Linked DNA regions of Saccharomyces cerevisiae S288C. The gene in region 2 interacts genetically with the main gene of each other region. Each region holds a gene or a part of one and is shown on either strand. Other genes may lie near its edges.

Region 1 (3,567 bases), 720 kb from region 2:
TTGCAAAGTGTTACAATCTGAGGCAGCGTAAACTTTGACGGTGGAAGTGTAGCTCTTCAAAGCTTGTAATTCGGTTTCATAGTCGGAAGTGGACTTACAAGTACCATCGTTGTTCTTGACACCCAAGTTAAAGGCTAGTTCACCAATAGCTGAAACTTGGGAGGCTGTGAAAAATAGCGCAGTAGCTGCAGTAGCGAGTGTAGTAGAGAAACGCATCTTTGACCGTTTTTCTTTTTGGTTAGTTGTCTATCTCAATAAACTTATATTGAAAAAAACAAGAAGAAGTCCAAATTGTGAATGAGGAAAAGTTTCTTTATAAGGAGGCAGTTAAAATCAAAATAAACAAATATCCTCTTGTTTTCTTCGTGACATTTTTCTCTTTTTCAGGGCGAAAAACTGAAAGAAAAATTTTAACGTTTCTTTTACTAAAAATAGAACTGCATATCCGTAGAAAACGATGATTATATAACATAAATAGTAATATCAGTTATTAATTGCTATTTATTTCAACTTGCCCAACGCTGAAACATGGTAAGAGCTATGGGTAGGCTATCTTGAATGGGTATATTTCCCTGGGGTACGGAAGCAGGGAATTGCAGTTGACCAGAAAAGTAATGATGCAAAGAAGAGGATTCTAAGTCAGATCTCCTGAAACAACGTTTTAAATGGCCCCATTTCCCGAAGATAAGCAGGATATTACAGGGTTTTTCTGATGTTGAACTTTTTTTCAGTTTTGCGATGTATGGTAGCTTTGTTTCTACCTTGTGGTACTTTGACAACTCTTCGTCGTAGTGGAAGTCACCACTGTTGACCCAAACGATCTTTGTGTAACCTTCGGACACCTCATTCAAAGTGCTTGCCATTCGAACATGATAGCCGAGTGGTTTTCCTTTGTAAGCATCTATGGGTGACACTACTTCTTTGCGCTCTGTATCAACTGTTACACGCGCAGTATTGGGAATATTTTGGTTAGATAACGTAATAATTTGATTCTTTCCTATATACACCAAATTTGTTAGAGCATCATCAGATTTACCTTTTGAGCTATCTCGTGCGATTGATAAGCCTTCCTTGTAGTGTTGTTCGGCAGATGCGTTCATAAAAGGTAGCTGGTTCAATGGCGGAAAGGTAGATGCACACTTTAAATATAACTTGTTTTTTTTTTTGAATGTAGTATCCAGTAAGTTTGGAGGCGTTACAAAATATTGTAATAGTGTGGCAAGTAATAAACAATCAGAGATAGTCTCCTTTGATCTTGATTTTTTTTCATGCTTTTTATCTTTTGACTGGTCTAGAACTATGATTTCTTGAACATTGAACAATACAGCTGTCCGAGCTATTTGATATGCAGTAAATGTAACTTGCTCCAAATTATTACAATTGTCGATAACAGTTGTCGGTATGCATATGGAATATTTGACCACATTAGATTCTATATCCATGATTTTTTTTAGCTTCAATAGGCCTGTCTTTGCCTTTTTGGCAGCCCCCTCTTCGTGCTTAAGGCTCTCGGATTTATGTTTTACTGCCATCTTCCCCTATTATGCTACACTTCCCTTGGTAGATGTGTTTCACCTCATTGGTATCAATTACCTCCTCTACTTAATATCCCAATTTCAACATGGTGTTTTCAAGCGATGAGGTGGAAAAAATTTCAAATAATATGTTTGGGTGTGCCCATTATTGCGGTTTACAATAGTTGCTAAAGAGCTATTTATTAGGAATTTTTAAACTTTAGAGATTGCTTAAAGCGACTTTAAAGCGTTTCTTTGGAAAGATAGGAGAGCGGATGCTATCTCAAGAGCATCTCTTCAATGATTTAAGCAGTGACAGTGTAAAACAATTACGGACCAACGAAAATGGTCAAATCAAAACTAATTACAATAAATAAGTTCTATCATAATACAAGGGAATTCTGTGCGATATAACCACATTGATTGAAGGTAGAATATACAAGCCAACGTGAGACCAATCAAATTTCGTTAAGTGCGCCTATACAAAAAGAAATCTTTTATGTAGATATGACAGTAAGAAAAGTATATATGTGAGCTAGCAGGGTATTGAAAGCGATCACAAGAAGGCAAAACGAAATAGATTGTTAGAAGATGAGTGAACAGAAGGGACATAAAGAAAAGATTTCCTTTACAATCTAGTAAATCTTCTTCTTTTCATCAACGGATAATTCACCAGCGCCAGTATTAGTAACTAATAGAAGCCCACCAATGATGCTTAAGTTCTGGTAAAACTCATACTTCAAGAAATCTCTCTTAGTATTGTTATAAAACCAGTAGTTGTTTAGCGTGATATTGTAAAAAGTTAGTATCAAACCCAACATAATGGATGCGAATTTTGTCTTGTAACCAATGGCGAAACATATTGTGCCGATAATGGTCAAAACAACAGTAAACCATGATTTACTGAAAGTGAAAGCGATAAACATTAAAACAATTAAAATTCTACCAGCAAACAACAGGTAACCCTTCGCTTTGTCGTTTTTGCTGTTTAATTCAGGAAGCATACCGAATGTTGTCTTGTTTTGAACAATTGAATCGCTGAATGCAATTAACAACCCACCAATAACACTAAAGTTTCTTAGGACAAATGATGAACCCGTAAACAACCCATAAACTAATGCTTGAGAAATAACGCAAGCACATAACACACCGGTGGCATAATTGGTTTGCTTTCTTAAAACTAACAAACTGGCGCCAATCAACATGGAAACGGTAACAACCACTAGAAACACAACGACAAAGAAGTATGGGTAATGCTTCCACTTATTCAGATAAAAAATTTGATCTGACCATTGTGATAAGATCCTAAACGAATCTTCATAAAAGGTGGCCACAATGAAAAATCTTGACAAACTTGGAATGTAAGGCTTCAATTTATAAACAACTGCATTGTCAGTGAGCCCCTCAATTCTGGAGGCAAACTTTTCAAAAGAATGCTTCCATTGCTTTAAGATGCCAGAAGTGGATTGGTTCTGGTTTGATCTGAATTGTGCACCGCCAGAGTATGGTCCTTGCGATGATGACATTGGCATACCGCCAAAATTTCCAATAGGTCCTCTGTAAGACATTGATCTATCCTTTCAGTTTTGTTTTCACTTTTTTTGAGTCGTACTAATTGCAGCTATTGTAAGTAAATAAGGACACCTTTGATCTTTCGTTAAAGGTGTCCTTTATTTTTCGCCTTTCTCATTATTCCCTCTTCTCTCATCTTCTAGAAATACCTAAAAAGGGAACCGTTACCCGAACCTATTCATTATAGAAATAAAAGAGAACGTTCTCTATAATATTCGTATACATTCGTATATATTCTATTCCATTTCTTACGGTATTCACACGAAGTAGGACAACAAGCTGGATGGTAGTTTGCCAGAATCGACAATAGTCTTTGCAGATTCCTTCAAAACTTCCTTGGCACCAGCAGCATTGGCCTTGATCTTATCGGCGGTGGACACTAACTCTTCGTCATTCAAACTGTCAACGATCAAACCAACTTGTTCGTCAATCGTGGTGGCCTTGTCAGCATCACCAAAGTAGTCAGCTTCCTTAGCAGAGT
Region 2 (3,352 bases):
CGCTGATGCTTGGCACTGGTTGCAACTCAAGCCAGGCCAACCAATGTACTGAAAAATGACCCTAAACTACTTCTAAACCCTCTCGATTTCTTTCACGTTCATACAACACCTAGTTTTATTTATTTTCTTTTCAATCTGAGTAGTTGAGTTTTCGATCACTCACATAGAACTATTTTTTGCCATTTAAATAAAGTATTCTCTCAAATGATGCGATACTATAATACTCTTTGCCATATATTACATTCATTCATAAATAGGCTATGTTTCTATATCCGTTTCCGATTCTGTCTGCAAGCAAGGTTCCCTATCATTACCGGATTGTTCACTATGGTTGGAGCTCTTCTTTTCCCCTGCACTTGCATCAGTCTCAGATTCAGAACCAGAAATGTCTCCGTAATCTTCATCCGATCTTCCTGCTGATATTTGAATACCATTGTCTTCTAAAGACACTAAATGTTTTTGAACATCACTGCTACTATCAGATTCAAAACTTATTGATTGTGTGTCATCTCCAAAAGAGGTAATATCATCGTACTTTTCACTGAGTTTATCTTTAGCAGTAATAATTGGCCTTTTAGAAAGTCCGAAAAATTGAAAGTCATCAAAATCGTCGTCTTCCATTTTGATCACGGATTGATTAGATATTTTTCTATTAGCTCTCCTCCGACTTGTGTCTTTCAACTTCTTTTGTAAATTTTGAGGCTCTACTACCGTCTTTCTTCGTTTCATTCTTTTTCCTGGAGAGTTTAACTCAGAAATTGGCTTTTGCACTTCCGTATTAATAAGCGCAGAATCTAAAACATCATCGTCAGACAATTTGATATTATTTTGTCGCAGAATCTCATGAAGCTCTCTTATTTTCTTCTTCTTCTCATTCAACAAGGTTACCATCATTGCTCTGGTTCTTTCATCACGTGTTTCTAAAAGCTTATCCAATAGCTCCCTTTCCCGAGCCAGCTGTTCAACTCGATTTCTATTGCTAGAATCGCTCTCCTTTATATTCCGGTAAGAATCGTTAACACAACAGATATCTTTATAGAGTTTATCTGCCATTTCAAATAAATCAATCTCTCCCTTTTTGACTGGATGCAAGGTAAGTTCAGCGATTTTTCTTATGATCGCCGATGACTCCAACTCCATAACTACTTTCCATACCTCATCATCTTGCATTCTGCACGTCCATTTTGTGAATACGACTTTTTCGTCTAACGATGCAATGTACACTTTGTGACCAGTTAACATTTTGAGTAGTTCATACCACACATATTTCTTAGACTCTTCATCGATATTTTCTCCCGTAAAGATTCGCAAATCATTGATTCCAAAACTGCTTTTGGAAAAAATTCCTGTACCTTCACTTACCAACATTTTCTCTATTCTAAGCCCTGAAAGACTGTTCTCATCTAATGTTTCCAACATAGCGCCATCTTCAATCTGAATCTTACAGAGGCCACGCTCATCTTCTTCATTTTGTTCTTCATTAACCACAGGGATACAGCTAATGAACTCCGTCAGCTGGGACATAGCACCCTACATAAATAAGTCATCCAATGCACAATTCTCTCAGTTCTATGCATTGACACGTCGAAAACTGCCGTTCATCTTATTATTCTTTAATATGGCTTTTCAAAATACGCTTCCGGGTACTTTTTCGGATTCATTAATGGTGTAATTAGTAATGCGTAGAAATATTTTGTATATAATAATAAATAACATGTTTGTCCAACAACTCGTAGGCTAGGCTAAACGTGAAGTCTTTCTGTTTTTGAGAACAACAGTATACATAAGTGATATCCAAGAATGACTGAGATACTACCACATGTAAACGACGAAGTGCTACCAGCAGAGTATGAACTTAATCAGCCGGAACCAGAACACTGTCCTGGTCCAGAATCAGACATGGCAGGTAAGTCCGATGCTTGTGGTGGCTGCGCCAATAAAGAAATATGTGAAAGTCTTCCGAAAGGCCCTGATCCAGATATTCCATTGATCACAGATAACTTGTCAGGAATAGAACATAAAATATTGGTTTTATCAGGCAAAGGTGGCGTAGGCAAGTCGACATTTGCCGCAATGCTAAGTTGGGCACTTTCAGCTGACGAAGATTTACAAGTAGGTGCCATGGATTTAGATATATGTGGACCTTCTTTGCCACATATGTTAGGCTGCATTAAAGAAACCGTCCATGAATCGAACTCCGGTTGGACACCTGTCTATGTGACTGATAATTTAGCCACCATGTCTATTCAATATATGCTTCCAGAAGACGATTCCGCCATTATATGGAGGGGTTCAAAAAAGAATTTATTGATAAAAAAATTTTTAAAGGATGTTGATTGGGATAAACTCGATTACTTGGTAATCGACACACCGCCCGGAACATCTGATGAGCACATTTCAATAAACAAGTATATGAGAGAATCTGGCATAGATGGTGCCCTTGTGGTCACCACACCTCAGGAAGTAGCTTTATTAGATGTACGGAAAGAGATAGATTTCTGTAAGAAGGCTGGTATCAATATTCTTGGACTAGTGGAAAATATGAGCGGATTTGTATGTCCAAATTGCAAAGGAGAGTCCCAAATATTCAAGGCTACCACAGGTGGAGGTGAAGCACTTTGTAAGGAATTGGGCATCAAATTTTTGGGGTCTGTTCCGTTAGATCCGAGGATTGGCAAGAGTTGTGACATGGGTGAAAGTTTCCTGGATAACTATCCTGACAGCCCAGCTTCGAGTGCTGTACTTAACGTTGTGGAGGCTCTGCGAGATGCTGTGGGGGATGTATAGTATATTTTATCAAAAAGAATAAAAGGAAGTGCATTAGAGGTCAAATCGTTTTATAATATAAATATCATTACCTTTAAATCTTAGACCTACTGAAGAACACTTTTACCATATATAATGCTACTAATTACTCCAAAAGCGTTAGCTTCAGTCCATGTTTTACTATTTTTCTTTTTTTTAGAAATAAAAATAAAAAAACTTATATCTTATATGTACACTTCATTAAATCCTGGGCAAACTCACCCCTCAAGTATGCCTTTTCTGGCTGCCCTAGGGGGAGCTCAAGCAATTTGGCCTTCGAATCGCCTATTGAAGGATTGTTTTTCTCCAATATTTTTGATACAATCTCTTGGGACATAACATTACAACATGCGGCCACTTCACGACAGTGCTTATACTGATCATAAAATATCTTCATACCACTAATTAATGAATCGATAGTCTCCTGCGTTTCAACATTATCCAACACAAGCTTTAGATATACTTCAAATACGTTTATACTTACACTCCATTTGTCCCTCTCAGAGTCTGGAAATTCGTTAAGAATTTCCCTCAAAGTTTTCAGTTC
Region 3 (2,548 bases), on a different chromosome or scaffold from region 2:
TTACAGCTGCAGAGCAGCAAAGAAGTTGACACAAGGATACGAGCGAATTAGGGTGGGCGCTTATACTTAGTTTGAAACACAGAGGGAGGATACTGACCTAAAATGGAAAAACGTACACCCGTTGATCAGGATTATCTGTAATGAAAAACACAGGACTAAGTCGAATAGCTTTTTTCAGATGAGTCTCGCCGTTAAAATTGCCAGTGTAACGTAAACAAGAGACTGTTTCAGATTGAGAAAATTTTCTTTTCTTTTCTTTTCTTTTCCGAAGGCCTCCCACCATTGAACGTGATTATGACTTCCAATAATCAGAGGATGACTTAAAAACCCCTTGATAAGATCTATTATTTTCGCGATATGCCAAAGACAACCGCCCTTCTTTTTTTTTTTTTTTTTTTTTTTTTTTTTGTTGGGAAAACTTCGTGTAAAAGGGTTAGGCTGAGATTTATCTAGAGACGCTAGCCTTCGAAATTCTCCATTTACTTTGAAGCATTGCCATCGCACTAGATGACCTTGTTTATTCTGAGGTGCCAAGAGTTAAAATTTCTTCGAGGTCTCCTTTTCAACGTTAGGTCTACGTAATGGACGAAGAAAGTGTCAAGAAGCTAATAACCCTCCGCAGTTCGTTGCCACATTCAATAAAGGAAATTCCGTTCCTATTGAAACAAAAAGCTCTTGGTACGCGCGCAGAGAGTCTGGATCGAACCTGACGGAGATATATGTCAGATCGACGTGACATGTAACATTAGAAATCTGCGTAGCGTTATTGATAGATCTCATTCTAGGCCTTCCACGAACCTTCCGGGCGGAGAATAATATCCGCAGAACATGATGCTAAAAGCCAGCTAGCGAGAAAAGAGGCAACAATAGAAAAAATGCGCGCGCCCTTCTAAACTACGTCAGCGCTATACGTAACTAGGGAGCCCAGAGAAACGCCTATAAGATTTCGTGGTAGCCACCGATCTGTCATTCGAGATCTCTGACGCTCTTCTGAAACATTCTCCTTTTTATCTACAGAAAACTCAAAGGGTCCTCCACTTGTATAGTTTCACAGTTTAACTTCAGCACCGTGTTATATCCTTTGCATAACGCAACGCAATTGTGACAGCCTCTCGTTCAGACCCTACTTTAACAAGCTCGCTAAAAAGGAAGCGCAAGAGTTTGTAATTTGCCTCTTGCGTCTGCTTTATTCTATTCGCAGTTTGATCGCACTAAAATATAGCTCCGAGAGTATGTATGGAGGTCTGTTAAAGAGATTGTTCTGGCCTGAGTTTTAATTCATCAAGGTTAGATACGGAGGACTGAACTCTCCACGAATAACCAGCCTTTCTTTATATCTATTTTGGAGAAAAGTCGTACTGTCATCAGTTCGAGGATGGTTGCTGCGCTTTATGATTCATCTACCTGTTCCAGACTGCTCACCAAATCCTCGTTTTTCAGTTTGTCACTACGGTAGTGTTCGTACAGCCGTAAAGGAGACCAGTATGGAAGGAGATTTGCTTGCGCCAAAGCTTCTTTTGCGTAACGTCTAACTACAGCTAGATTCTCAAAAATTCGTGTTCAACTCAGAAGAGGAAAGCAATTTAAAAATGAAATTTGCGGGGATCCCATTATCTCTATTGTTTAGCACATTAGGATCTCATCCGCCAATACTAGAATTTGACACGACTTTCAAAAGGAAAGATCTAAATTATGGTATCATGTTAATAATCAGTACGCATATTCGCATTTAGATTTAAATGGTTTGCGTCCAGTTTTTCTTATGTACGATCTATTTTACGTTATAATAACGGTTCTACCATTACATTTACATAGTAGACAGGCTGCCACTCCTCTGCGTCAAAAATAATATGCCTAGTGATTATACTTCCCATTACCCAGTAATACTTATCAAAAAAAAAAAAAAAAAAATTGCAGGAATGTATAGGCATAGTAAGCGGTACCTTGAGATAATGTCCACCGCTTCAGCTCAATTCGTCGGAAACTAACGTCTCAAAATATGGCGGCGAGAACACCAAAGGCGGGGTGTCCAAAACGCTTTTGCACTCTGCGGCCAATGTCCATGAACTAATTCTTTACACATAACCACAGTAATAAACTTGCAAAGAAAAAAGCAATGTCACTCCTTTCATGTGCGTTCTTTTGACGTTACAAAAGTTGAGCTGTTCAATGACGTATTTATAAGTATTAAGAAGTTCTCTCTCTTCAGTGGATGATGGACCGGATGTCGATACATGATTTGTCGATATTAGTACAATTACTACAGAGCCCATTGGGGTTATCTTTATTATTGCACTCTGCATGTGGCATCGACATATCCTTCTGTTCTGTGGCCACACCGTCGTCACTTTTACGGTGATCTGTTTCCAGTTCTTTACAAACGCAAGTAGTGTTGTCGTTACAAAAGCCGCATTTGACAGAGCTAGGCAGTTCTGTCGAGTGCTGGTGGCGCTTGATAGCGGTATTGTACTTAATAGGTATCGCCTTCATTGGTTTGAAATTCTCGATCAAATTCTGCAGGATAGGGTCCTGAGCAGGCACAGAGGCT
Region 4 (2,516 bases), on a different chromosome or scaffold from region 2:
AACCGTCCCTCCAAATGTAAAATGGCCTATCGGAATACATTTTCTACATCCTAACTACTATAAAACAACCTTTAGACTTACGTTTGCTACTCTCATGGTCTCAATACTGCCGCCGACATTCTGTCCCACATACTAAATCTCTTCCCGTCATTATCGCCCGCATCCGGTGCCGTAAATGCAAAACAAATACCATCTATGTCTTCCACACCATCATTTTACTATGCCTGCCACCATCCATTTGTCTTTTGCACCATATCTTCATAACCTGTCACCTTGAAACTACCTCTGCATGCCACCTACCGACCAACTTTCATGTTCTGTTTCGACCTACCTCTTGTAAATGACAAATCACCTTTTTCATCGTATGCACCTTATTCTCCACATCACAATGCACTATTGCTTTTGCTTTTTCACCTGTCATATCCTATTGCTATTAGATGAAATATAATAAAAATTGTCCTCCACCCATAACACCTCTCACTCCCACCTACTGAACATGTCTGGACCCTGCCCTCATATCACCTGCGTTTCCGTTAAACTATCGGTTGCGGCCATATCTACCAGAAAGCACCGTTTCCCGTCCGATCAACTGTAGTTAAGCTGGTAAGAGCCTGACCGAGTAGTGTAGTGGGTGACCATACGCGAAACTCAGGTGCTGCAGTTGTTTTTTTTTTCGCGCACGAATACATCACGCAGCCTCGCCTTGACACTGCTCAAGGGATAAGGGGAAGGAGCTGAGATAGAACTGAGTTGGAGCGTTGCAGCGGCACGAGCAGTGAAAAGAGCGAAGAGAAGAGAAGCAGATAAAAGACCAAAGTAGCGATGATACTTCGATGTTTGGAGCGATTTTTCCTATGTGAATATTAGAAATCATATGTTTTGTATCAGCTGAACAGTGAATGATGTGCTCAATACTCAAATTCATCTTTTTGTTTGCTAAAAATAGCTTAACTGGCACATCATGAAAAGGATGTAGAAATTATAGAGTATATTTACTACTAAGAACTATATAAAAACACAGTGTGATGAAAAGTCACTGATCAGGCTTTAACCACCGTAGACGCCAGAAAAAACAGACCTAATCTGATCCATGCCGTAGCCGGAGTACAAACATAATTGTAGCAAAATACGCGATTTTTGAGGGTTTAGGTAGCCAGATCCAATGGCGTACTCTGGGGCATCATCTGGAGGAACTGTACCATCTGCTGTTCTTCTGCTGTGAACAATTGGTATACCATACTCTTCATAAAGTTGTTCGTTTACAATACTACCCGTAGCAGTCCAGGAACCAGCTCCAGAACCCGCCAACACGATACCTTTTGCGCCCAGGTCCTTGACGGCCTTTACTATTAGCTCAGGATTCAAGCCTTGATAGGAGTACAGAATAATGACTTCTGGAATTTCCGAAGGGTCTGTGAGGTTGGAAATGTCAAAAAATTGCCATCCATTTGGCTTGACTGGTGGGTAGTAAAACTCCACGTCATCATTTGAAAAGTAACCTAAATATCCCTGTTCATCCGCTCTGAATGTATCTAAAGAGTTGGCATTCATTTTCGTTGTCCAAAACCCAGAGGCAATACGATCGTTTAGAGTGATCATCGTGCCACGACCCAGTGATTTCTCAGAAGCAGCAATAGACACTGCTTGATATAAATTCATTGGGCCATCAGCAGACGTGGCAGTGGCTGGACGCATAGCGCCTGCGATACATACTGGCTTCTCTGAATTTATGGTCAAATCTAAGAAGAAAGCTGTCTCCTCCATAGTGTCGGTCCCATGAGTGACAACCGCACCAGCGTAGTCATCAGAGGCTAGTGCCTCGGAGATACCGTGATACAATGGGATCAGATGCGTATAGTTTAAAGAATTTGAACCAACGTTAGACACTTGAAGATAGTCCAGATTTGCCTTCTCAGCTAAAGATGGGACGGCTTCTATTAAATCATTTACGGTTAATCCCACGCTATAACCCGCCGTTGTTGCACTTGTCGAACCCTTGGAAGCGATAGTACCGCCGGTACCAAAAATTTTGATTGATGGCAAAGAAGAATTCTTCTCTTCACGAATTTTTAGTAGTGGAGCACCACTGGACATTGCGACAAAGAGAGAAAGTAAAAGGGTATTTAAAGATCTCATAGTTGGAGGTTGGTGAGTACCAGATTGCTTACAAAAGAATAGCGAGCCAACATTTGCTCTGCCTCAGGCCTCTTGGTGCTGCTTGAAGACTCATCTTATATGGCTTTTGTATGTCATGATTTGTTCTTGTACATTATGTGTTGATATTAAACAAATTGATTTTTTTTTTTTTGCGATAGCAAGCAGATAATGAAAGAGACAAGGACTTGGAACATCCGATAAGACTGCGCCGATATCGATCTTACAGTCCTTCCCTTGTGTCATGACTTTCGGAAAAGCATCCTCGTCGACTGGTAGTTTGCTGTCTGTCACGTGCTGAAGGGTCTGATACATTTTTTTAAAGATAAGAGACGGGGTTTACCCTTCGGAGGACTAAGCGA

Evidence for each region.
Region 1: mutations in NBP35 (region 2) and UPA1 together harm fitness more than expected from each alone (negative genetic interaction), as found in Saccharomyces cerevisiae (one large-scale study listed by BioGRID).
Region 3: mutations in NBP35 (region 2) and YIR018C-A together harm fitness more than expected from each alone (negative genetic interaction), as found in Saccharomyces cerevisiae (one large-scale study listed by BioGRID).
Region 4: mutations in NBP35 (region 2) and YLR154C-H together harm fitness more than expected from each alone (negative genetic interaction), as found in Saccharomyces cerevisiae (one large-scale study listed by BioGRID).

Annotation. Positions count from the first base shown.
Region 1 is NC_001139.9:1,058,509-1,062,075, forward strand, and holds UPA1 (putative methyltransferase), read right to left. Parts: upstream 1,533-3,567; coding exon 507-1,532; downstream 1-506. Other genes in the region: BGL2 (glucan 1,3-beta-glucosidase), read right to left, coding at 1-216; protein ERV29, read right to left, coding at 2,150-3,082; ZUO1 (zuotin), read right to left, coding at 3,344-3,567.
Region 2 is NC_001139.9:341,491-344,842, reverse strand, and holds NBP35 (Fe-S cluster-binding ATPase), read left to right. Parts: upstream 1-1,800; coding exon 1,801-2,787; downstream 2,788-3,352. Other genes in the region: MF(ALPHA)2 (Mf(Alpha)2p), read left to right, coding at 1-52; LIF1 (Lif1p), read right to left, coding at 259-1,524; nucleocytoplasmic transporter NUP145, read right to left, coding at 2,984-3,352. UniProt on the Saccharomyces cerevisiae protein: Component of the cytosolic iron-sulfur (Fe/S) protein assembly (CIA) machinery. Required for maturation of extramitochondrial Fe-S proteins.
Region 3 is NC_001141.2:385,004-387,551, reverse strand, and holds YIR018C-A (uncharacterized protein), read left to right. Parts: upstream 1-1,850; coding exon 1,851-1,988; downstream 1,989-2,548. Other genes in the region: YAP5 (Yap5p), read right to left, coding at 2,206-2,548.
Region 4 is NC_001144.5:468,270-470,785, forward strand, and holds YLR154C-H (uncharacterized protein), read right to left. Parts: upstream 690-2,516; coding exon 558-689; downstream 1-557. Other genes in the region: asparaginase ASP3-1, read right to left, coding at 1,048-2,136.